3 linked regions of the Arabidopsis thaliana genome follow. The protein of the gene in region 3 purifies or fractionates together with the protein of the main gene of each other region. This does not show direct contact. Each region holds a gene or a part of one and is shown on either strand. Other genes may lie near its edges.

Region 1 (6,714 bases), on a different chromosome or scaffold from region 3:
AGACTGTCCAACCATTAGTGTAATTATCTTTTCTTTATAGTTGACTGTATTGAGTACTGATTTTTCTCCTTCCAAATTTCTTCTCTGCTTTAACTTGTTTTCCCCTTTTTCTTTTCCATTTTCATGCTTTATTTGGATTAATTTCAATTTATTTTAACTTTTTACTCACAACCCACCAAGATATATAGGCAGCCACATGGTCTCACCTTAATTCAACACATTCACAGTCAATCCACAAATCATTAAAAAAAATATGAGTGAGCTTTCATACTCTCTCCCCTCTTGGGATCTCCATAACCTTGGATCACTCTTCAACCAAAACTTCAATCTAGGTATAGACAACAACGATTTTATATTACAGTTCTTTTATGTATATTTATAGAATGATTTATGTTAAGTTTGCTGGTGGATTCGTGCAAACAAAGAAAAAGTATATTTTCGTTGTAAGATGAATGTATTTAATTTGTGCTAGTAATTCAAGAAAATTTCATTAAAGATATATATATATATATATATATATATATACTTTTTTTTTTCTATACACACACATAATGTGAGGAATTTGGCCATGCAATGTACTTGTAGATGCATGGGGGCTCATTGATGAATCGCCGGAGAATATATTCTGTTCACCGGAGATGGAAATCGGGGACGTTTCCACCGGATACCTTGAAGACGCACTCATTGAATTCAGTGGGAGAAGCAAACGGAGACGTCTCTCGTTCAACGGCGCCGAGGACAAACCAGATAACGATTTAGACCATTCTCAGGTTTATATAATTACTACTCTGTTTTTTGGTTTGTCATTTACGTAATTATTCCGTATTTTTCATTTGTTATGAAACTGATTTAGTTGATCGCGGAATATAATAATGCAGAATCATTGGGGTCTGTCTGAGAATTATAGTTGCACGAGTAGTCAGTTTGCAGGTGAGACCTACTTCTTTATTATTATCACCCATATTTTTTTGAGGCATATTTATTATTTAATACTATTAACATATAAATGATCAATACATTAGTGCTGTTTTAATATAAATAGTAAGTTAATTGAATAATCTTTGTGAATAATTTTCTTATATTTAAACAGACGAATCTCCAAATTCTTCCATCAATATATGTTCTGAAGAAAAATCCTCAATTTCGTCGAGAAACTCTTTCGAACCATCCTCGTCCACGTCAAGTAAGCATATTGTATTTTCTTCCGAAGTAGTGAATTATATGGGACTTTTTCGTTTTTGTTTATGCGTAATTGTCCACAGTAGCTATAATTAAACAAATCAATCATGAAATTTCACTTTTATTCATTTGCGTTTTGCGTTTATAAAATATTTAATATTAATAAAATTATGTGTTTCTAATCACATGCAAAGCATTTTAAACACAAAGTCCGATCCCGAATAAACACTGACGTAACACTTGTGCATTACAGAAAAGAATGACTATGACGAGAAGAAGAGGGTGGTGTATCCATTTGGAGTGGTAAAACCAGGTGGTCGAGAAGAAGATATAACTCTAAATGACATTAATAAGAGGATTTTAATGCCATCGGCTAGGCCGGTTCGACATCCGGTTGGAGACTTTGCATGTCGTCCGTGTGTCTCTGCAGATGGACCGGGTCTATCAGGCAAAGCCGTGGTTGCATTCACGAAGATACAAACATTAGGGAGGGGCACAATTACTATTATAAGAACTAAGGGATGATATATCATATATGTAATTAATATTGGCTATTAGAGGGGGGTCGTTATAATATGTACTGGAGATGTTTCAAAAAGACTAATCATTGGTTGACATGTTCAAACCTATTGTTGTATATAATGAGAAATGGTGTATATTAGTATACATGCTTTTCCATTTTCTTAGAAATCTTCCTTCTAATTATTTAGAAACCTCTTAAAAAAGAATCAAGATAATAGATATCTTAGAAACTTACTAAACAAATTTTCTTAAGAAATCAAGATTTTGTATGTATTGACAAAAAAAAAAAGTTCTCTTCTTTTTTTCGTTTGATATATTATGTTTTTTGCATGTTCGTGCTTTTTGTTCTTTACCCTTTTTCCCCTAGCCAACCCTTTTGTTCTTTAGTAAAAGAAAAATTCAGTAGACACCAAATAAATAAACGAAGCGTGAAGAAGAATAAATAACAAAGAAATTAAAGCAAAAGAGAAGAATATGCTGAAAAGCAAGAACAAACAAAAGAGAAAGAGAGAGTATTTATAAGTACCTTATCAGGAAATTCTCAAAGATGGTTATATGATTTTAGGCAACAAGCTTTCTTATCTATATGTTCGAAATACTTAAATGATTATTAATTATTACCATATAGTCAATATTCTTAATGTATCATATCGAAAAATCTAAAGTGGATTTTACTTTTAAAATTTGAATTGAAAGAATAAACAAGTCTATAATTAGTAATTTTAAAATTACCAAGCTTCTACTACAATTTTTGAATTATAACAAGTACAATGAATCATTTTGTTTCAGCAAATTTAAATTTCGAATTAGAACAAGTATTGTCTCCAAATTTTATTTTATACTAAACCACCAATGTATAATTAGTTTAAATTAAATGAAACTAAAATATAATATAATACCTATTTTGTAAGATCAATGTCATTATGGGCCCGATGGTAAGCCCAGGTCGATTTGCACACAGTCAAATACATGACGTCATATAACATATATGACGTTTGTCAGCATTTTCTGGTCCGGGACAAAAGATCAGCAATCACTCGTACTGTAGTCAGTACTAGTAATGTAATGCTCAAGTGTTTAGCATGTGGGAAAAATAAAACACATTTTCAGGTGGTTAGTGACGTGGATTGGTTAATAATTAACAATCGCTAGTGCTCTCTTTTTTAAAGATTTCTTGAAATTAAATGGAACACCTTTTTTGTCAATCAAATGGAACACCTAACTACTAATTTACCGGTCCTTTCCATTATTTTTCATCTCCAAACGACCAAGATCAACGTAGCTTTTGACCTTAGTGGGTTGGGTCCATGTTGGTAGACCATGGTTAAAAACTTAAAATTAAGTAATTAACAAAGCTGAATAAACAACAATATTTTGAATTTTTTTCTTTCCTCATTTTTTAAAATATTGTTTTTGGGGGTGAGAATAGAGTGTTTTTTTCTTTAATTAAATAGATGAAATACAAAATCAAACATGTAAAACTCCATAATATTATGTAACTTTGACTTGTAAATAACATCCAAATTTGATAAAACCTAATTTAAAATCAAGTATTTATCAAATTTCAGTTCAAGATAAAATATTGAATTAACACCAGATTTAAGCCAACAATTCAAAATTTTAACCTAAAAACTTACATAATCTTTTTTTTTCCAAATAAATTTAGATTAAATATAGTATGAATTTAGGATTTTTAAAAAAATATTATGCTATTATAATAAAATATATCTTTCTAATTTATATTCATGCATTTGATTCCTTATCTGTATCAACCATATACAATCAAATATAAGTCTCTGTTGTTAACAGAAAAAAGAAAAAGAAATGATTTTTTTATAAATTAATATAATGATGCAGATCGTTGACGAATCGAAAATAGTCGGTTTAGGCGTCTAGCAACTTATATGGAACAACTTTTTAAGCCCAAGTGAAAAAGCCCAATAACAAACTTGAATACAGAGTATATATATATTCTAGGGTGCGGTTTCTTCCCTCGAAGATCGATTTCCATTGAATCCGTCTTGTACGCTTTTAGATCACGATTTGCTCCGTCCCTCTCTTCTTCTCCACGTCACGGCGATTCTCGCGGCGGTGCTATTCCTTATCGGTTGAGATACGGTATGTTTCTTAGGTCAATTATGCTCAATTTTGATTTTCCCAATGTCATCAGAATCTGATGCTAATGTGTTTTTTTTTTTTGCTCGCTGCAGAAAATGTTCAATTCGATGAAGATACTACCACTGGAGGCTCCTCCTGCTGACGGGAATTTAGGTCCACTTCCTCCGTCGCAATTAACGGATGAAGAAATCAAAGAGAATGAGTTTCAAGGAGAGCAAAACAATTCAATTCAAACTCCCATAGCTGTGGCTACTCATACGAATCCAATCGGAATCATTTATCCACCTCCAGAGATCCGAAAAATCGTCGAGACAACGGCTCAATTTGTTTCGCAAAACGGTTTGGCGTTTGGAAACAAAGTTAAAACAGAGAAAGCCAATAATGCTAATTTCAGCTTTTTGAAAAGTGATAATCCTTATCATGGCTTTTACCGGTACAAGGTCACTGAGTATAGTTGTCATATTCGTGACGGAGCTCAAGGTACTGATGTAGATGATACAGAAGATCCCAAACTTGATGATGAGTCTGATGCAAAACCTGACCTTCAGGCTCAATTTAGGGCTCCTCGTAAGATTTTAGAAGCACCTGAACCTGAGAAGTATACTGTTAGACTTCCTGAAGGGATCATGGAGGCTGAGCTTGATATTATTAAGCACACGGCGCAGTTTGTGGCGCGGAATGGTCAATCGTTTTTAAGGGAATTGATGCGTAGAGAGGTGAATAATTCTCAGTTTCAGTTTATGAAGCCAACACATAGTATGTTCACTTTTTTCACTTCTTTGGTTGATGCGTATTCTGAAGTATTGATGCCTCCCAGAGATTTGAAAGAAAAGCTGAGAAAGAGTGTTGCTGATTTGACGACTGTTCTCGAGCGTTGTTTGAATCGGCTTGAGTGGGATCGTTTCCAGGAGGAGGAGAAGAACAAAGAAGAGGATGAGAAAGAGAAGGAGAGAGTGCAGATGGTTATGATTGATTGGAAAGATTTTGCAGTTGTTGAGTCTATAGATTTTGCAGACGAGGAGGATAAAGATTTGCCAATGCCTATGACACTTGAGGAGGTTATTAGGAGGAGCAAAGTTTCAGCCATGGAAGAAGATGAAATTGTTGAGCCTGGAAAGGAAGTTGAGATGGATATGGATGAAGAAGAAGTTAAGCTTGTTGCAGAAGGAATGAGAGCAGCGAACCTGGAAGAGTATGTTGGCTCTGTGGAGATTGAAGAAGAAGCACCAATGAGAATTGTTAAGAACTGGAAGAGGCCTGAAGATAGGTTTCTGACAGAGAGAGATTCGAGTAAAGTTGTTATATCACGGATTACTGGTGAGCTGATTCCCATTACCGAGATGTCTGAGCACATGAGGATTTCTCTTATTGATCCTAAGTTTAAAGAACAGAAGGATCGGATGTTTGCTAAGATTCGTGAGACAACTCTCGCACAAGATGATGAGATTGCTAAAAACATTGTCGGGTTGGCCCGCCTCCGTCCTGATATCTTTGGAACAACAGAAGAAGAAGTTTCAAATGCTGTAAAAGCAGATATTGAGAAAAAAGATGAGCAACCGAAACAAGTAATATGGGATGGTCACACTGGAAGTATTGGTCGCACAGCAAACCAAGCCTTGACTCAGAACTCCAATGGAGAGCAAGGCGATGGCGTTTATGGTGATCCCAATAGCTTCCCTGGTCCAGCTGCTTTTCCTCCTCCTCGACCAGGTGTCCCAACTGTCCGGCCACTGCCACCACCTCAAAATCTCGCCTTGAACCTTCCTCGTCCTCCTCCTTCTGTTCAGTACCCTGGTGCACCAAGGCCATTAGGTGTTCCAATGATGCAGCCCATGTATCAACAACACCAGCTCTCTATGTCTGGGCCACATGGACATCCTTCAATGATGATGAGTCGACCACCACAAATGCAACCTGTTATGCGTGTGCCGCCTCCACCGGGATCTCAGTTTTCTCATATGCAAGTTCCTCAACCTTATGGTCAGCTTCCACCGCTTTCGATGGGGATGATGCAACCACCACCTATGGCTGAGATGCCTCCTCCTCCACCACCCGGGGAGGCACCACCGCCTCTTCCTGAGGAGCCAGAGCCAAAAAGACAGAAGCTCGATGAGTCAGCCCTTGTTCCAGAAGACCAGTTTCTTGCTCAGCATCCGGTAATATTTTCTTCGACTCTTGATTCATTTTCTTATCTTTTATCTTTCTTCTTTCGTTTGAGTTGTATCTTACCTGTTTTACACATTTTCAGGGTCCGGCTACAATCAGGGTTTCTAAGCCAAACGAGAATGATGGACAAGTCATGGAGATCACAGTGCAGTCGTTATCCGAAAACGTGGGAAGTTTGAAGGAGAAAATAGCTGGGGAAATGCAAATTCCAGCAAACAAACAGAAGTAAGTGGAAAATCTGGATTCTTAAAGGACAACATGTCGCTTGCTCATTACAATGTGGGAGCAGGAGAAATCCTTACACTGTCTTTGAGAGAACGTGGTGGGAGAAAGAGATAGAGACAACTGGTGGATTCAGGGAAATGCCTTTTAATCTCTTAATTCAAATTAGGTGTTCCTTAATAGATGTTTTTTATTGGTGGCCAAAGCTATATGTACTGCCTGCTCTTTATTCTAGCTCATTATATCTCTACTGTTACTGACTTAGGTTTGTTTTGGATTTGCAGCTAGTTTTGGGGCAACGCTTTGCTCTGTAATCTTAAAATAACATATTGGATACTTTGGTTTATGCGTTCTTACTACTGTTAAGCATTTTTAGTGAAGCTTTGTTTCTCTTCTTTGTAGGTACCATACGAGGATGCTGCCTTGCTTGTTTTCTGCGGGATCATCATTGTCGAAGGTACACACGCAATTAGAATAGCTAAGATGTTAGTTGAAACATTGAGAACC
Region 2 (4,524 bases), about 24 Mb from region 3:
GGCCTGAGAGATTTGAAGGGAGTGAATGGAAGGTCATGAGTGAGAAGATGATGTCTTTTGGAGCTGGGAGAAGAAGTTGTCCTGGAGAGAAAATGGTGTTTAGATTCGTTCCAATAATTTTAGCTGCAATAATACAGTGTTTTGAGCTGAAAGTGAAGGGAAGTGTGGATATGGATGAAGGGACTGGATCATCTTTGCCTAGAGCTACACCTTTAGTGTGTGTTCCTGTTGCTAAAGAGGCTACACAATCATTTTCTCTACTAGAACCAAATGTCAACTTCTAGCTAATGATTTCGAAGAAGAAAATGAACAAAGAGCAAGAAAACTTTACACTTGTGTACTTTTACTTATACTTCGTTTACGGCAATTCTGTTTTATACATAAAATAAACTAAGTAGTTGAAACAAACTTAAGTCAGTTACATATATGTATATAGTTTTAAAACATCTCTCTATTTAACATGAGTTGAGAGATTGAATAGCATTTACCTGCATCCGTTTTTACCAAGACAGTGTTAGGATGTCACCTGCTCGAACATTGTAATGTGCAAGTGACTTGTCATCGTCCTTTAAAATCCCGGCTTTTCCCCTTAACTTCAGTTTGTTTGCTACTTTCTCTTTCAAACTTGCCACGTTTTCGGATAAGGACTGCACTGTGATCTCAATGACTTGCCCATCATTGACGTCTGGAACAGAAACCATGATCGTAGAGGAACCGTGCAAATGTATGACCGCTAATTAGATACAACCAAAAAAAAAAACAGAAGGTAAGAGTCAGGAGAAAACATTACCGGATTTTGAGCAAGAAACTGGTCTTCTGGAACAAGACCTAACTTTTGTTTTGTTGGCTCTGTTTCCTCAGTTAGATGCTCCATGTGTGGTGGTGGATTCTTAAGAATTGAAAGGTATCCATGAAATATTGGTGATATCCTGAGCGCTTTCTGAATTGTTCTGCCCCGATTTCAAATCATTCTGCATCATTTTTTTTCCTTACAAAACGAAAAACATTCAAATTAGATTCGAATGAATATTCCCATGGAAAAAGGAATCGGCAAAGCAAATGACTACTGAAGATCCCGGAGAGAGATAAGAACAATCGTACTTCAGTCCCGCCGCGAGAACCGCCCTGACGTTGAGAAGAAACGGCTTCTTAGATCTAAAGCTTGGAAATCAAGGAAACGGTTTTCCAATGGGCCTTATTAGTTGGGCTTATAATTTCGATTCATACTAATTTTTTAGACCCACTTAATTTGATTGGAATGAGTTTTCTGTAGACTTTTTTTGTTCAACTTTTTCCGTTAATCAATGAAATCAAGCTAAAACATTGGTTCATGCTTTTATTAATCATTCAAAATAAAAACACAATTGTCACTAGACTTGATTAATTATTTGGTATATCAGAGATAATGCTTGGTTTTGCTGGAATCTTCACTTGCAACTAGGAAGAGGTGCACCACATAAACACTTGTTGTGGAAAAAGGAATAAGAATCAAATCTTTGAATATACTCTCCTTTGGGGATGCGTCCACACAGTCTGTTATAGCTAACATTCAGTAACTGAAAATAAGCTTTGCTCCACTCAGCCGGAATACTCCCTGTGATGCCATTGTGATTCATGTCCAAGTTATTAAGTGTCTTAGCGAGCTTAACCTTGGAGAGATCGAACTGGAACATGTTTCTTGATATATCAACGATCCATGTTGTTTTTTTAGCTCCAAACAAGATTGAAGCATCGCCTTGAAGCTTGTTCCGAGATAAATCGATGCGGTAAAAGTCGGGATTGCCTAGTGACTTTGGTATAGTACCAGAGAGCTGGTTGTGTGATAGGAAAAGACTAGGGACCTTTCCTGAAAACGTCCCAAATGACTCTGGTATCGGACCTATATGGAAGTTTAAACTTTAGTTTAGTCCATGAGATTAATGGATATGACTAATAGAGACAAAAAAAAACAGAGTTATTCACCTGTAAGCTTGTTCCTACTAAGTTCAAGATACTCGAGTTTACGTAATGAAGAGAGGGAACTAGGTATGGAACCAGAGAGGTCATTGAAGGAAAGGTCAATGTACTCAAGATTCTTGAGCTGACTCAGAAACTCAGGAACCGGACCGGTGAGATTGGTCCAGCTTAGTCTGAGAAAAGTGAGGTTCTTGAGCTTGGCGATAGTGGGTTGGATGTGACCAGTGAGGTTAGTGAGTTTGCGGAAGATAAGGGATGTAAGATACGGTAAGTCACCGACTTCAGGGGGGATCTGACCGGAGATCTCGCCGTCTTGTATGATTAGGGAAGTGACACGGTGGTTGACAGTAGCGTCGCCGCACTCGAGGCAGTACCAAGAGCAACAGTCGGTTTTGGGATCCCATGAGGCGAGGTGGTAAGGGTTGTTTAGGGATTTCTTGATCTTGAGGAGGGTAGTTTTGTCATCTTTATGACAGAGATCTTTAGCTAAAGAAGTCGTGAGGAGGAGAGTGGACAAGAGCAAGAACAGTGTCATTGTCTTATCCATAGTGTTTTTGGTGTTTGTGTTTTGAGTTTTTATGGAAACTATGATTGATATACATATAGGCTATGAATGCATGGTGCGATACAGATGTAGTAATGATTTTGCTGACTAGACCACGTTTTAAACAAGTTTCGGTGCAGAAATTTTGGAATTTATATTTGTGACGATTTGAGAAATTTGGGAATTTGGAAGAATAAGGAAATCAGGGTTTTTCTCTTCTTTTTTTTTTTGTTTAAACCAATCTGGTTTTACTTTTCAAGTTTGGATATAAACCCAAATCGAATCGAGAAACCATACCAAACCACTCAGAGATTCCGTTATCCATATTTCCCCTGTTTTTCCATTAAGGTAGGATTAATCCATCAAATAAAACATTTTGAAAATGTGCTATGAATACATCAAATGAGAGGTTTGGTTCATGTTTTATTAATCAATCCGAATAACATTACATATTTGTCTATATTATTGACTCAAATATATTTTTTCGTAATCCTAGAGATAAGCTTGGTTTACTTGCAAATTTCAAGAGGAGCACCACACAAACACTTGTTGTGAAAATAGGAATAAGAATCAAATGTCTGAAGTTTCCCTCCAGTTGGGATGTGTCCACACAGTTTGTTGTAGCTAACATTGAAGAACTGAAGAGGAGCTTCAGTCCACTGCACCGGAATATTCCCAGTGATCCCATTGTGGTTCAAGTCCAAGATACCAAGTGTTTTAGGGATATCAACCTTTGAGATATCGAACTGGAACATGTTTCTTGATAAGTCAATAGACCAGGTTGTTTTGTTGGAACCAAACAACATCGAAGCATCACCTTGGAGCTTGTTGCGGGATAAATCGATCCGGTTAAAGTCGATGTTGCCTAATGATTTGGGTATTGGACCGGAGAGCTGGTTATGTGATAGGCGAAGGTCAGGGACTGTTCCTGGAAACGACCCAAATGACTCTGGTATGGAACCTACAACATAAAGATCGTTGTTTAGACAAGACACTGAATGATGTAATAAAGGAAAAGATCGTTCTTTACCTGTAAGTTTGTTCCTGCTAAGTTCAAGAGCCAAGATTTTAGGTAACGTAGAGAGAGAACTTGGAATGGAACCAGAGAGATCATTGAAGGAAAGTTCTAAGAACTCGAGATTCTTGAGCTGACTTATAAAGTCAGGAATTGGACCTGTCAGATTCGTCCAGCTGAGCCTGAGCATTCGGAGGTTCTTGAGTTTGGCGATGGTGGGTTGGATTGTACCGGTGAGGTTAGAGAGTTTGCGGAAGACAAGGGTCTCAAGATACGGCAAGTCACCGACTTCAGCCGGGATCTGACCGGAGATCTGGCCGGAGAATATGGTTAAGGCGGTAACACGGTGGTTAACGGTGGCGTCGCCGCACTCAAGGCAGTACCAGGAGCAACAGTCGGTTTGAGGGTCCCATGAAGCGAGGTGATAAGGGTTGTTTAGAGATTTCTTGATCTTGAGGAGGGTGTTTTTGTCATTTTGGTTACAGAGATCTTTAGACAAACAGGTCGTGAGGAATGTGAACAAGAACAAGAGACACAATGTCGCTGTCTTATCCATGGTGTTGGTTTTGAATTTTGATGGAAAGTGTTAGTGATACATATACATACTATATAGTGAGTGATATAGACTTAGAGAGACGGATTCGATTTGATCTCTGTTTCCACATGGACCGTAATAATAGTCAATACATATCATATAGTCAAGATGTCGGCGTTGAATATGTTTGGGTAATGCAATTACGCGTTGTATATAATTAGGCTATAACCGGTGCAAGTTATATCTCCTTGAAGCATTTGGAAATGTATACTGAGGCAATGTCTTCACCATCTAATACAACTTCTCAAAAGTTCATCCAAATTTAAGTAACCCAATTGATCTATCCAACAAACATAAGATTTGAGAGAAAGTTTAGATTTTGGTTCATATTTATAAGAAAATATCGAACAAAGTTTATGGTCATCTTCAAATCGATCCGACCGTTGGAAGAGATTTATCACAAACGGCTCTATT
Region 3 (11,045 bases):
TCCACTATAGAAGAAAACATAAAAATCTTCTTTATGCCAAAAAAGATGGTAATACAAAATAAAACGTGTTTTTTTTTCTTAGTGTGGAATATATACTTTTCGTATAACTTTTTTGTTAAATCAAACCAAAAAGAGTTTTTCAAAATAAAGCAAGAGTGGACCCTGAAGATGTAAAAGGCAATAATGGACTGTAAGAGCGTGGTTCGTACGCTACGTCGAGGCGTATCTTGCTTACTACACGACTGAACTAACTACTCGAGTGCACCCGTATATTTATATACATACACCTTAAGCTATAAGTATATAACTATACATAAATACACACACTGTTCTAGAGTAAAATACGTATGAATCTGTGGTCCCCACGGAGACCTAAAGGGACCTCCCCCAAGTAAAGTTGATTATGGCACACACACGGTATCATCAACCTCTCTGTGTACCTTTCTTAAAATCAGTGGCGCCTCTATGGAAGGAAAGGAAGGAACCTTCCCTAAATAATCCCAAATCTCTTTAATTCATTTCTTAATATATAGAATTCTTTTTTTTGGTATCAGAACCGTATTATTAGAACGAGTAATGGACTTTTCTTCTATTATATGGTCAAACAATTACTGCTCAATGTATTTGCGTATAGAGCATGTCCAATACCATGCCTCATGATGTGAGATTGCGAGGCGGAGTCAGAGAACGAGTTAAAGTGACGACGTTTTTTTTGTTTTTTTTGGGCATAGTGTAAAGTGATATTAAAATTTCATGGTTGGCAGGTGACTGAAAATAAAAATGTGTATAGGATGTGTTTATATGCTAGACGGAAAAATAGTTACTCAACTAATACAGATCTTTATAAAGAGTATATAAGTCTATGGTTAATCATGAATGGCAATATATAAGAGTAGATGAGATTTATGTTTATATTGAAACAAGGGAAAGATATGTGTAATTGAAACAATGGCAAAATATATAGTCAAATCAAACTGGTTTCTGATAATATATGTGTTGAATCAATGTATATCTTGGTATTCAAAACCAAAACAACTACAACCAATTTCTTTAAAAAACCAGTTGATCTAATAACTACATTTTAATACTAGTAGCTATTAGCTGAATTTCATAATCAATTTCTTGCATTAAAATTTAAAGTGGGTTTTGCATTTAAACTTACTCGGTTTGTATTAATAGACTTTCAAAGATTAAAAGAAAACTACTGCATTCAGAGAATAAAGCTATCTTACTAAACACTACTTTTAAAGTTTCTTTTTTCACTTATTAATCTTCTTTTACAAATGGATCTGTCTCTCTGCATGGCAAAATATCTTACACTAATTTTATTTTCTTTGTTTGATAACAAATTTATCGGCTAAGCATCACTTAAATTTAATACACGTTATGAAGACTTAAACCACGTCACACTATAAGAACCTTACAGGCTGTCAAACACCCTTCCCTACCCACTCACATCTCTCCACGTGGCAATCTTTGATATTGACACCTTAGCCACTACAGCTGTCACACTCCTCTCTCGGTTTCAAAACAACATCTCTGGTATAAATACCTCTGTATATCTTTATAAACCCCAAATCAAAACCTCTCCTATATCTCTTCAATCTGATATAACTACCCTTCTCAATGGCTTCTAATTACCGTTTTGCCATCTTCCTCACTCTCTTTTTCGCCACCGCTGGTTTCTCCGCCGCCGCGTTGGTCGAGGAGCAGCCGCTTGTTATGAAATACCACAACGGAGTTCTGTTGAAAGGTAACATCACAGTCAATCTCGTATGGTACGGGAAATTCACACCGATCCAACGGTCCGTAATCGTCGATTTCATCCACTCGCTAAACTCCAAAGACGTTGCATCTTCCGCCGCAGTTCCTTCCGTTGCTTCGTGGTGGAAGACGACGGAGAAATACAAAGGTGGCTCTTCAACACTCGTCGTCGGGAAACAGCTTCTACTCGAGAACTATCCTCTCGGAAAATCTCTCAAAAATCCTTACCTCCGTGCTTTATCCACCAAACTTAACGGCGGTCTCCGTTCCATAACCGTCGTTCTAACGGCGAAAGATGTTACCGTCGAAAGATTCTGTATGAGCCGGTGCGGGACTCACGGATCCTCCGGTTCGAATCCCCGTCGCGCAGCTAACGGCGCGGCTTACGTATGGGTCGGGAACTCCGAGACGCAGTGCCCTGGATATTGCGCGTGGCCGTTTCACCAGCCGATTTACGGACCACAAACGCCGCCGTTAGTAGCGCCTAACGGTGACGTTGGAGTTGACGGAATGATTATAAACCTTGCCACACTTCTAGCTAACACCGTGACGAATCCGTTTAATAACGGATATTACCAAGGCCCACCAACTGCACCGCTTGAAGCTGTGTCTGCTTGTCCTGGTATATTCGGGTCAGGTTCTTATCCGGGTTACGCGGGTCGGGTACTTGTTGACAAAACAACCGGGTCTAGTTACAACGCTCGTGGACTCGCCGGTAGGAAATATCTATTGCCGGCGATGTGGGATCCGCAGAGTTCGACGTGCAAGACTCTGGTTTGATCCAAGGGATGTGAGTAAGACACGTGGCATAGTAGTGAGAGCGATGACGAGATCTAGACGGCATGTGTAGTCAAAATCAAGTTGCACGCGAGCGTGTGTATAAAAAAATCTTTCGGGTTTGGGTCTCGGGTTTGGATTGTGGATAGGGCTCTCTCTTTGCTTTTTGTCGTTTTGTAATGACGTGTAAAAACTGTACTCGGAAATGTGAAGAATGCATATAAAATAATAAAAAATCATTTTGTTTCTACTTTATCAAATTTAATAATGCATTCGGTTTTGCAGCAAGAATGATCAAAGCTTGTATTAGTACTAATTAATTTATTTAAAGGTATCTGACCTTTTTAAAAAATGTTAGTGGGTATAGAGGATAATAATGTTATTTGTTGTATTTAATTTTGTAATAAAATTGATAACTAAAGAAAGGAAGATGTGTTGGGGCCTAGGAGACCAAATTGATTGCTTTGTAAGTACTCGTTTCATATTATTAGTAACTTTTGAATTTTTTTATGCATGATAATATGTTATCTGTAACTACAAATCTATCCTTAACTGTTTTAATGGCGACTAAAGTTTGTTCTCTTTGAACTAAACAAATCTATCTTTATTTGTTAGGTAACAACAAATAACTAAACATTCAAATTTGGAAACTTCCGAATTCTTAAAGCAATCAAAATACCTCAAAATGGGGGTAATATTTATTATTGTCAGGTGAAAAAGTAATCTAGTGAATTTAATCACCGAAATTCCTACAAATTTTAGTAATTTAGGTATTAAGTATTTTCTGAAAATGGTCAGTGGGGTTGGTGAAGAAGTTCTTCTCCCTTGCCTCCGTTCTTTATGCCAAAGAAAACTTTGAAACATTTAAGTATCGAAAAGGCTCATCTAGATTCAATCAATCATTTATATGCCTTTTATTTTATTTATCAGTATGTAGCTTATATATACTGATTTTGATCATGACATAATTTATCATGCATTCTGTATAATAATAAACCTGATTAAGTTGTAGTGGATCCGGACTTTCGGCTATATGTGGAAATAAATAAGCTAGTGACGAATTGAGGATAATGCTAAATAAAATACACTTTGTTATATCTTTTAGGGTTACGACACATATATAATAGATTTTAAATAAAATTCGTGGCTGTGTGTATTAATGATTAGAAAATTATGTAAGCATACACTTTTTACAAGGATGTTTTGTGTAAATTTGAAATTTCCAAATTCTTATGGAATATATTAATTTATATCCAAATGAAAATTTATTTTGATCATAAATTTTAAAGTACCTGAAATAGTTCATGTTGTCTCTATGTATTTTGGAAAAAGTACAAGGTTATTCGTATATTTAAAAACTTAATAACCGAAAAATTGGCTCACCTATATGATTGAATTCAACATGAAAATTAACAAAGGCTTTTGTTTGCTTCGGGGGTGAAAGAAAGCCTTTCTAGTTAGTTTCTATTCAACTTCAATGTTGGCCAAAAGAAGGAGGTATGCAGCAATAGGTATATACGCCAGCTTATCTGCATAAAAGCTGTATACCTTATCTGTATTGGGCTTCTAATTATCTGATCAAATATGGCCACTAGAACAGACGTAGTGACCAAAATTATAATTGGGCTTATGGGCTTTGATTACTTGAACCCAATCTATAAAAGTTATTAGCCCAAATTAAAACTTGACCCGAAGTTTAAGAACCGACTCCCCCACAATTGGTCGGTTTCAATAACTCTCCAAATCCTAAAATAATTTTTTTTTCTGGCTTCATCTGGATAAACCCTAGTTCATCCTTTTCTCACGCTCTACCTCCCCACAATCATCCGCAGACGAGTTCCGATTACCGGTGAGTTATTCTCCAATCTTCGTTTCGATATACGATTCTATTCTCTCGTATTTGATTGATTCCGATTGTTTTCAATTTCGTTTTGTTTTCTTCTGATTCACTGCTTTGTTGATTTTCTCAGTTCTTTCTTTTTTTGCTGGAGAAAGCTTCGTTGAGTATCTGATAATGGCGGATCTAGATCCAGAGATCGCTAAAACTCAGGAGGAAAGACGGAAGATGGAAGCAGACCTTGCTTCTCTCACTTCTCTGACTTTCGATCGCGATCTATACGGAGGTAACGACCGTGCTTCCTACTCGACTTCTATTGCACCTAACGAGGAGGATGATGCGAATCTGGACACCACTGGTTCTCTTGTGGCTCAGCGCCTCGCGTCTTATACTGCTCCTAGGTCAATTCTTAACGACGTGGCTCGTCCTCACAACGAAGATGACGATGTGGGATTTAAACCTAGGCAGAGTATTGCCGAACGTGAGGGTGAATATAGGAATAGGAGACTCAATCGGGTTCTTTCTCCGGATAGAGTTGATGCCTTTGCTATGGGCGACAAAACGCCGGATGCGAGTGTTCGTACTTACACGGACCATATGAGGGAGACGGCTTTGCAGAGGGAGAAAGAGGAAACTATGAGACTCATTGCCAAGAAGAAGAAAGAGGAAGAAGAAGCTGCTGCGAAGCATCAGAAAGATTCTGCTCCTCCTCCTCCTGCTTCCTCTTCTTCTTCCTCTTCCAAGAGGAGACACAGGTGGGATCTCCCTGAAGAAGACGGTGCTGCTGCAAAGAAGGCTAAAGCAGCAAGTTCAGATTGGGATTTACCTGATGCAGCTCCAGGGATTGGACGATGGGATGCTCCTACTCCAGGGAGAGTTTCTGATGCCACACCATCTGCTGGACGAAGGAACAGGTGGGACGAAACTCCTACACCTGGTCGTGTGACTGATTCTGATGCAACACCTGGTGGTGGTGTTACTCCCGGTGCTACTCCTTCAGGTGTTACTTGGGACGGGCTTGCCACGCCTACCCCAAAGCGTCAACGTTCAAGGTGGGACGAAACACCAGCCACTATGGGGAGTGCTACACCTATGGGTGGAGTCACTCCTGGTGCAGCTTACACTCCTGGTGTTACCCCAATTGGTGGGATTGATATGGCTACTCCGACTCCGGGTCAGCTTATTTTCCGTGGTCCTATGACCCCCGAGCAGCTCAATATGCAAAGGTGGGAGAAGGATATCGAGGAAAGAAACAGACCATTGAGTGATGAAGAGCTTGATGCCATGTTTCCTAAAGATGGATACAAGGTTTTGGATCCGCCTGCTACGTATGTTCCCATCAGAACCCCTGCGAGGAAACTTCAACAAACCCCGACACCCATGGCAACTCCTGGCTATGTTATTCCTGAGGAAAACCGTGGGCAACAGTATGATGTGCCCCCAGAAGTTCCTGGTGGTTTGCCGTTTATGAAACCAGAGGATTATCAGTATTTTGGTTCTCTGTTAAATGAAGAGAACGAAGAAGAGCTGTCTCCTGAAGAGCAGAAAGAACGCAAGATAATGAAACTGTTGTTAAAGGTTAAAAATGGAACTCCTCCCCAGAGGAAAACAGCGCTGAGGCAGCTTACTGATAAGGCTCGTGAACTTGGTGCTGGTCCTTTGTTCAATAAAATTTTGCCATTGCTCATGCAACCCACTTTGGAAGATCAAGAGAGGCATCTTTTGGTCAAAGTGATTGATAGAATTCTGTACAAACTTGATGAGATGGTAAGGCCTTACGTCCACAAAATCCTTGTTGTTATTGAGCCTTTGCTGATTGATGAAGATTATTATGCTCGTGTAGAAGGGAGAGAGATTATTTCTAACCTTAGCAAAGCAGCTGGTTTGGCCTCTATGATTGCAGCTATGCGTCCTGATATTGACAACATCGATGAATATGTGAGGAACACAACAGCGAGAGCTTTCAGTGTGGTGGCTTCAGCTCTTGGAATCCCTGCACTCTTGCCTTTCCTGAAAGCTGTGTGCCAGAGTAAAAGGTCATGGCAGGCACGGCATACTGGAATCAAGATTGTTCAGCAGATTGCGATACTAATTGGTTGTGCTGTCCTGCCTCACTTAAGGTCTTTGGTAGAGATTATCGAACATGGTCTTAGTGATGAAAACCAGAAGGTTAGGACTATTACCGCATTGTCACTGGCTGCTCTTGCTGAAGCTGCTGCTCCATATGGTATTGAGAGCTTTGATTCTGTTCTGAAGCCTTTGTGGAAAGGTATTAGGTCGCACCGTGGTAAAGTTTTAGCTGCTTTCTTGAAGGCGATCGGTTTTATCATTCCCTTGATGGATGCTATATATGCGAGCTACTATACAAAAGAAGTCATGGTTATCTTGATTCGTGAGTTCCAGTCGCCTGATGAAGAGATGAAGAAGATCGTCCTCAAGGTGGTGAAACAGTGTGTAAGTACAGAGGGTGTTGAACCGGAATACATTCGTAGTGATATTCTGCCCGAGTTTTTCAGGAATTTCTGGACAAGGAAAATGGCTCTGGAGAGGAGAAACTATAAGCAGCTTGTTGAAACTACTGTGGAGGTTGCGAACAAGGTTGGTGTTGCAGATATTGTGGGAAGAGTTGTTGAAGATCTCAAGGACGAGAGTGAACAGTATCGACGTATGGTTATGGAAACCATTGATAAGGTTGTCACAAACTTAGGAGCATCTGATATTGATGCGAGGTTGGAGGAACTGCTCATAGATGGCATTCTTTATGCTTTTCAAGAACAGACTAGTGACGATGCTAATGTGATGCTTAATGGATTCGGTGCTGTAGTAAATGCTCTTGGTCAGCGAGTAAAGCCTTATCTTCCCCAGATCTGTGGTACCATCAAGTGGCGATTGAACAACAAGAGTGCAAAGGTAAGACAGCAAGCTGCTGATCTGATTTCTCGAATTGCAGTTGTTATGAAGCAATGCGGAGAGGAACAGTTGATGGGACATCTAGGTGTTGTTTTGTATGAATATCTTGGAGAAGAGTACCCAGAAGTCTTGGGATCGATTCTTGGGGCTTTAAAAGCTATAGTCAATGTGATTGGTATGACGAAGATGACTCCTCCTATTAAGGATCTTCTACCAAGGCTGACCCCGATTTTGAAGAATAGGCATGAGAAAGTGCAAGAGAATTGTATCGATCTTGTTGGTAGGATTGCTGATCGTGGTGCCGAGTTTGTTCCAGCAAGAGAATGGATGAGAATCTGTTTCGAGCTTCTTGAAATGCTTAAAGCTCATAAGAAAGGTATTCGTCGTGCTACTGTCAACACTTTTGGGTACATTGCCAAAGCCATTGGGCCACAAGACGTTCTAGCCACGTTGCTTAACAATCTCAAAGTCCAAGAACGTCAGAACCGTGTTTGCACCACAGTTGCAATCGCCATAGTCGCTGAAACATGCTCTCCCTTCACCGTCTTACCTGCTTTGATGAATGAGTACCGTGTTCCAGAGCTAAACGTCCAAAATGGTGTTCTGAAATCTCTCTCCTTCCTCTTCGAGTACATTGGAGAGATGGGCAAAGATTACATATACGCAGTTACACCGTTGCTTGAAGACGCTCTCATGGACAGGGATTTGGTTCATAGACAAACGGCTGCTTCAGCTGTGAAACATATGGCTCTAGGTGTAGCTGGGTTGGGATGCGAAGACGCCTTGGTTCACTTGCTTAACTTCATTTGGCCCAACATTTTTGAGACATCTCCTCACGTCATTAACGCAGTGATGGAAGCCATTGAAGGAATGCGAGTCGCATTAGGAGCAGCTGTAATTCTGAACTATTGCTTGCAGGGTTTGTTTCATCCGGCGCGCAAGGTCCGCGAAGTGTACTGGAAGATATACAATTCTTTATACATTGGTGCTCAGGACACCCTTGTTGCTGCTTACCCGGTTCTTGAAGACGAGCAGAACAATGTGTATAGCCGACCGGAGTTGACGATGTTTGTGTGAAAGAAAGATTCTGGATTCGATGTGATTCTATTACTCTCTAGTCACCTGTAGTTGTTGGTATTTTGGCTTTATTGCAAAGGTTTGCTTTGTATAAAACACAGAAACGTTTCTTTTCTTTTTCTGATAACTAGAAAACCTATGTTCACTTTTGGTTATTTCTTATTGACTTAAGTTTCATGTTATTTGTATGCATTACAGTTGCAGGTTCATGAAATAACGTAGAAATCTGTCAAGACTCCAAATAAGCAGAGCTGTTTAGATCTTTCATATTGCGAGACTGAGTGAACATATATTACTGTGGAAATTGGTTGTGTCAGTTTGTTCATAAATTTGGTTTACTCGTTGAAATCTTACTGAATTTGGACCGAATTTATGGTGGTTGATTTTGGTTCAGGTTTAACTGAGAATTCGCTGCCGAAGGAAAACAGGATACATACATACAATGTTCTAACTTCTACGGTTTACATCTTTAATATACGAACACAAGAAAACCAATTGGTATTTGGCTGTGTGAACCTGAATCAGATACCCTCAAAACCGAAATTATGGTTGTGTTTGGACTGGTTTGGGTTCCGGTCAAACGCTCAGGGAATGGTTTCGGTTCTATATGTTCAGTAGAGACCCAAAAATTTCCACCAGAAAGATCCAACACCTCCCCAGATGATCGCTTGTACAAGAGCCATCACGAACCCGACTCTAAACATATCTCTCAGATCTACATACCCAGCTGCAGATCCAGACCAATATTTTTTTTTGTAAGAAAGTGTTGAATGGTCGATTAATTCGATAACTAAGGATATGAGAAATATGATAAAAACTTCGAAAGAGAAGAAACCGGACCTCCGTAATATAAAGCAGCCGGTCCACCACTATAATGTGCCAAAGCACCAGAGAGATTGTTGTTGAAAGCCAAGCAAAGCGCTGCTAGAACCCCAGGCACGCCAGCAGCGATTTGCATCGCCAAGAAAGGCGGATAGAGAGCTCCCGCGTGACCGGTTTGGCTTGCAAATAGATAATGTATCAAGAGATAACAAGCCTGGAGAATAATGAATGACGCGGGCCAAGTCAGGGAGAGAGATTGTAGCAGTTTGGCCACACAATCCGACATCCAAGCAACGACACCGAGGTTTGTTAGCTGTCCAGCCATACCAATCAAAACCGCAAACCAAGTGAGAGAGTCCCAAGCTGATTTGTCACTGAGACAATCGTCCCAGTTTATGACTCCCAACAGCAGAAGTGTTGATAGACCTATCATCGCGGACACAACACTTGCTATTCCTATTGCCTCTCTGCAAGGAGATACGAAAAATAAAGTTCATAATATGGTTAACGTTGATTTTGAAAACTTTTTTAGTGAGTTTTATGTAGTTATAGACTTATGTATCAATACGTCTAGTTTTAGACACTAAATAGTTTTATGCGATTTCTCTTGTATGATACTAATGATGCTTTGTTCAAATTCTGCAAGAAACCGTACCCGAAAACCCAAAGAGAGACGGTGAAAGCCATAGCGCCGAGCATGATCCATTCGTTTTTCGTGATGGGACCTAATCGTTCGAGCTTCTTAGCAGCTGCAGCCGGAGCTTCTGGTGTGTGTTTCAACTCAGGAGGGTAAAGCTTGTAGATAATGAGAGGAGTACAAAGAAGAGACACAAACGCAGGAACACTAGCGACTTTAAACCAAGTGATCCATGGATTCGAGATTACAACACCAACTTCTCTTGCTAGTTTGAGACATAGCAAGTTTTGTGCAGCTGATGTGAGTAGAATCGCACCAGAAGCTCCTGAACACTGTCACAGACAAAACATAAACCCTTCAAGATACAATTTCTCATTCCAAACATTTAATGCTTAATGAACATAGTTGATGTTATTTCCAAAGACCAAGCTATAGTTACTGATTAGAGTCTTTGAGTTATTACCTGCAATTGAGTTTGAATGAGAAAAGAACCCAATTTTCTGGAAGATGGGTCTCCGGGATAACTTCCGGCGGAGATCGCCAAAGATTTAATCACCGGCAAGAAAACGCCACCGGCTCTAGCCATGGTAGACGGCATAATCAAACCCATAAGCGTTTCACAGAACGCAAGACCATAAGAGAGACCAAGAGTGCTTTTCCCCAGCCACTTGACGAAATAAGTAGCGATTCTGTCGCCAAGACCAGTTTTGATGAATCCACGAGCGAAGAAGAAAGAAATAGCGATTAACCAAATGAGCTCATTGGTAAAAGCGGCGAAAGCGGTTGAGAAAGGAAGCGTTTTGGTGACGATTGAAGCGGTTAAGCCAATGAAAGCCCAAGCGCCTACAGGGAGAGGACCAAGGACGAGACCTGAGATGGTGAAGAGGAAGATTGAGAGTAATTGCCATCCTTGTGAGGTTACTTGTTCTGGTCTTGGGATTAAGAATCTGACTATGAGGCCGATTGAGACGGAGATCGCGAGAGGAATTAGCTTCGCTCCTTGCGGCTGCGGCGGAGAAGGAGGGGGAGGTTGAGGTTTGTTTTGTTCCTCCGGCAAGGAAGAGGCGGTGGCGCGTAGAGTGAATCGAGGGGAAGAGATGGAGAGTGATCGGAGTGTTGGGGATGTGTGTACGGAAATCGACGGTGGAAGTAACGCAAATGATTTGGAGGAAGATCGATGGAGAGATAGATAGGAGGCTGAGAGTGAGATTGAACGGAGAG

What was found. The genes of interacting proteins can lie anywhere in the genome.
Region 1: the proteins of AT5G64270 (region 3) and AT1G14640 fractionate together in Arabidopsis thaliana (co-fractionation; one large-scale study listed by BioGRID). This does not show direct contact.
Region 2: the proteins of AT5G64270 (region 3) and AT5G06890 fractionate together in Arabidopsis thaliana (co-fractionation; one large-scale study listed by BioGRID). This does not show direct contact.

Annotation. Positions count from the first base shown.
Region 1 is NC_003070.9:5,019,742-5,026,455, forward strand, and holds AT1G14640 (SWAP (Suppressor-of-White-APricot)/surp domain-containing protein), read left to right. Parts: upstream 1-3,684; 5' UTR 3,685-3,819; intron 3,820-3,910; exon of another isoform or gene 3,911-3,911; 5' UTR 3,912-3,914; coding exon 3,915-5,975; intron 5,976-6,067; coding exon 6,068-6,214; downstream 6,215-6,714. Other genes in the region: AT1G14630 (XRI1-like protein), read left to right, coding at 254-332, 586-770, 879-930, 1,091-1,183, 1,433-1,704; AT1G14642 (uncharacterized protein), read left to right, coding at 6,623-6,664.
Region 2 is NC_003076.8:2,131,920-2,136,443, reverse strand, and holds AT5G06890 (Ubiquitin-like superfamily protein), read right to left. Parts: upstream 702-4,524; coding exon 501-701; downstream 1-500. Other genes in the region: CYP93D1 (cytochrome P450, family 93, subfamily D, polypeptide 1), read left to right, coding at 1-284; PGIP2 (polygalacturonase inhibiting protein 2), read right to left, coding at 1,428-1,879, 1,963-2,503; PGIP1 (polygalacturonase inhibiting protein 1), read right to left, coding at 3,010-3,461, 3,531-4,071.
Region 3 is NC_003076.8:25,702,354-25,713,398, forward strand, and holds AT5G64270 (splicing factor), read left to right. Parts: upstream 1-4,254; 5' UTR 4,255-4,390; intron 4,391-4,511; 5' UTR 4,512-4,555; coding exon 4,556-8,365; 3' UTR 8,366-8,976; downstream 8,977-11,045. Other genes in the region: EXL2 (EXORDIUM like 2), read left to right, coding at 1,627-2,544; DiT2.2 (dicarboxylate transporter 2.2), read right to left, coding at 8,977-9,092, 9,206-9,654, 9,843-10,156, 10,288-11,045.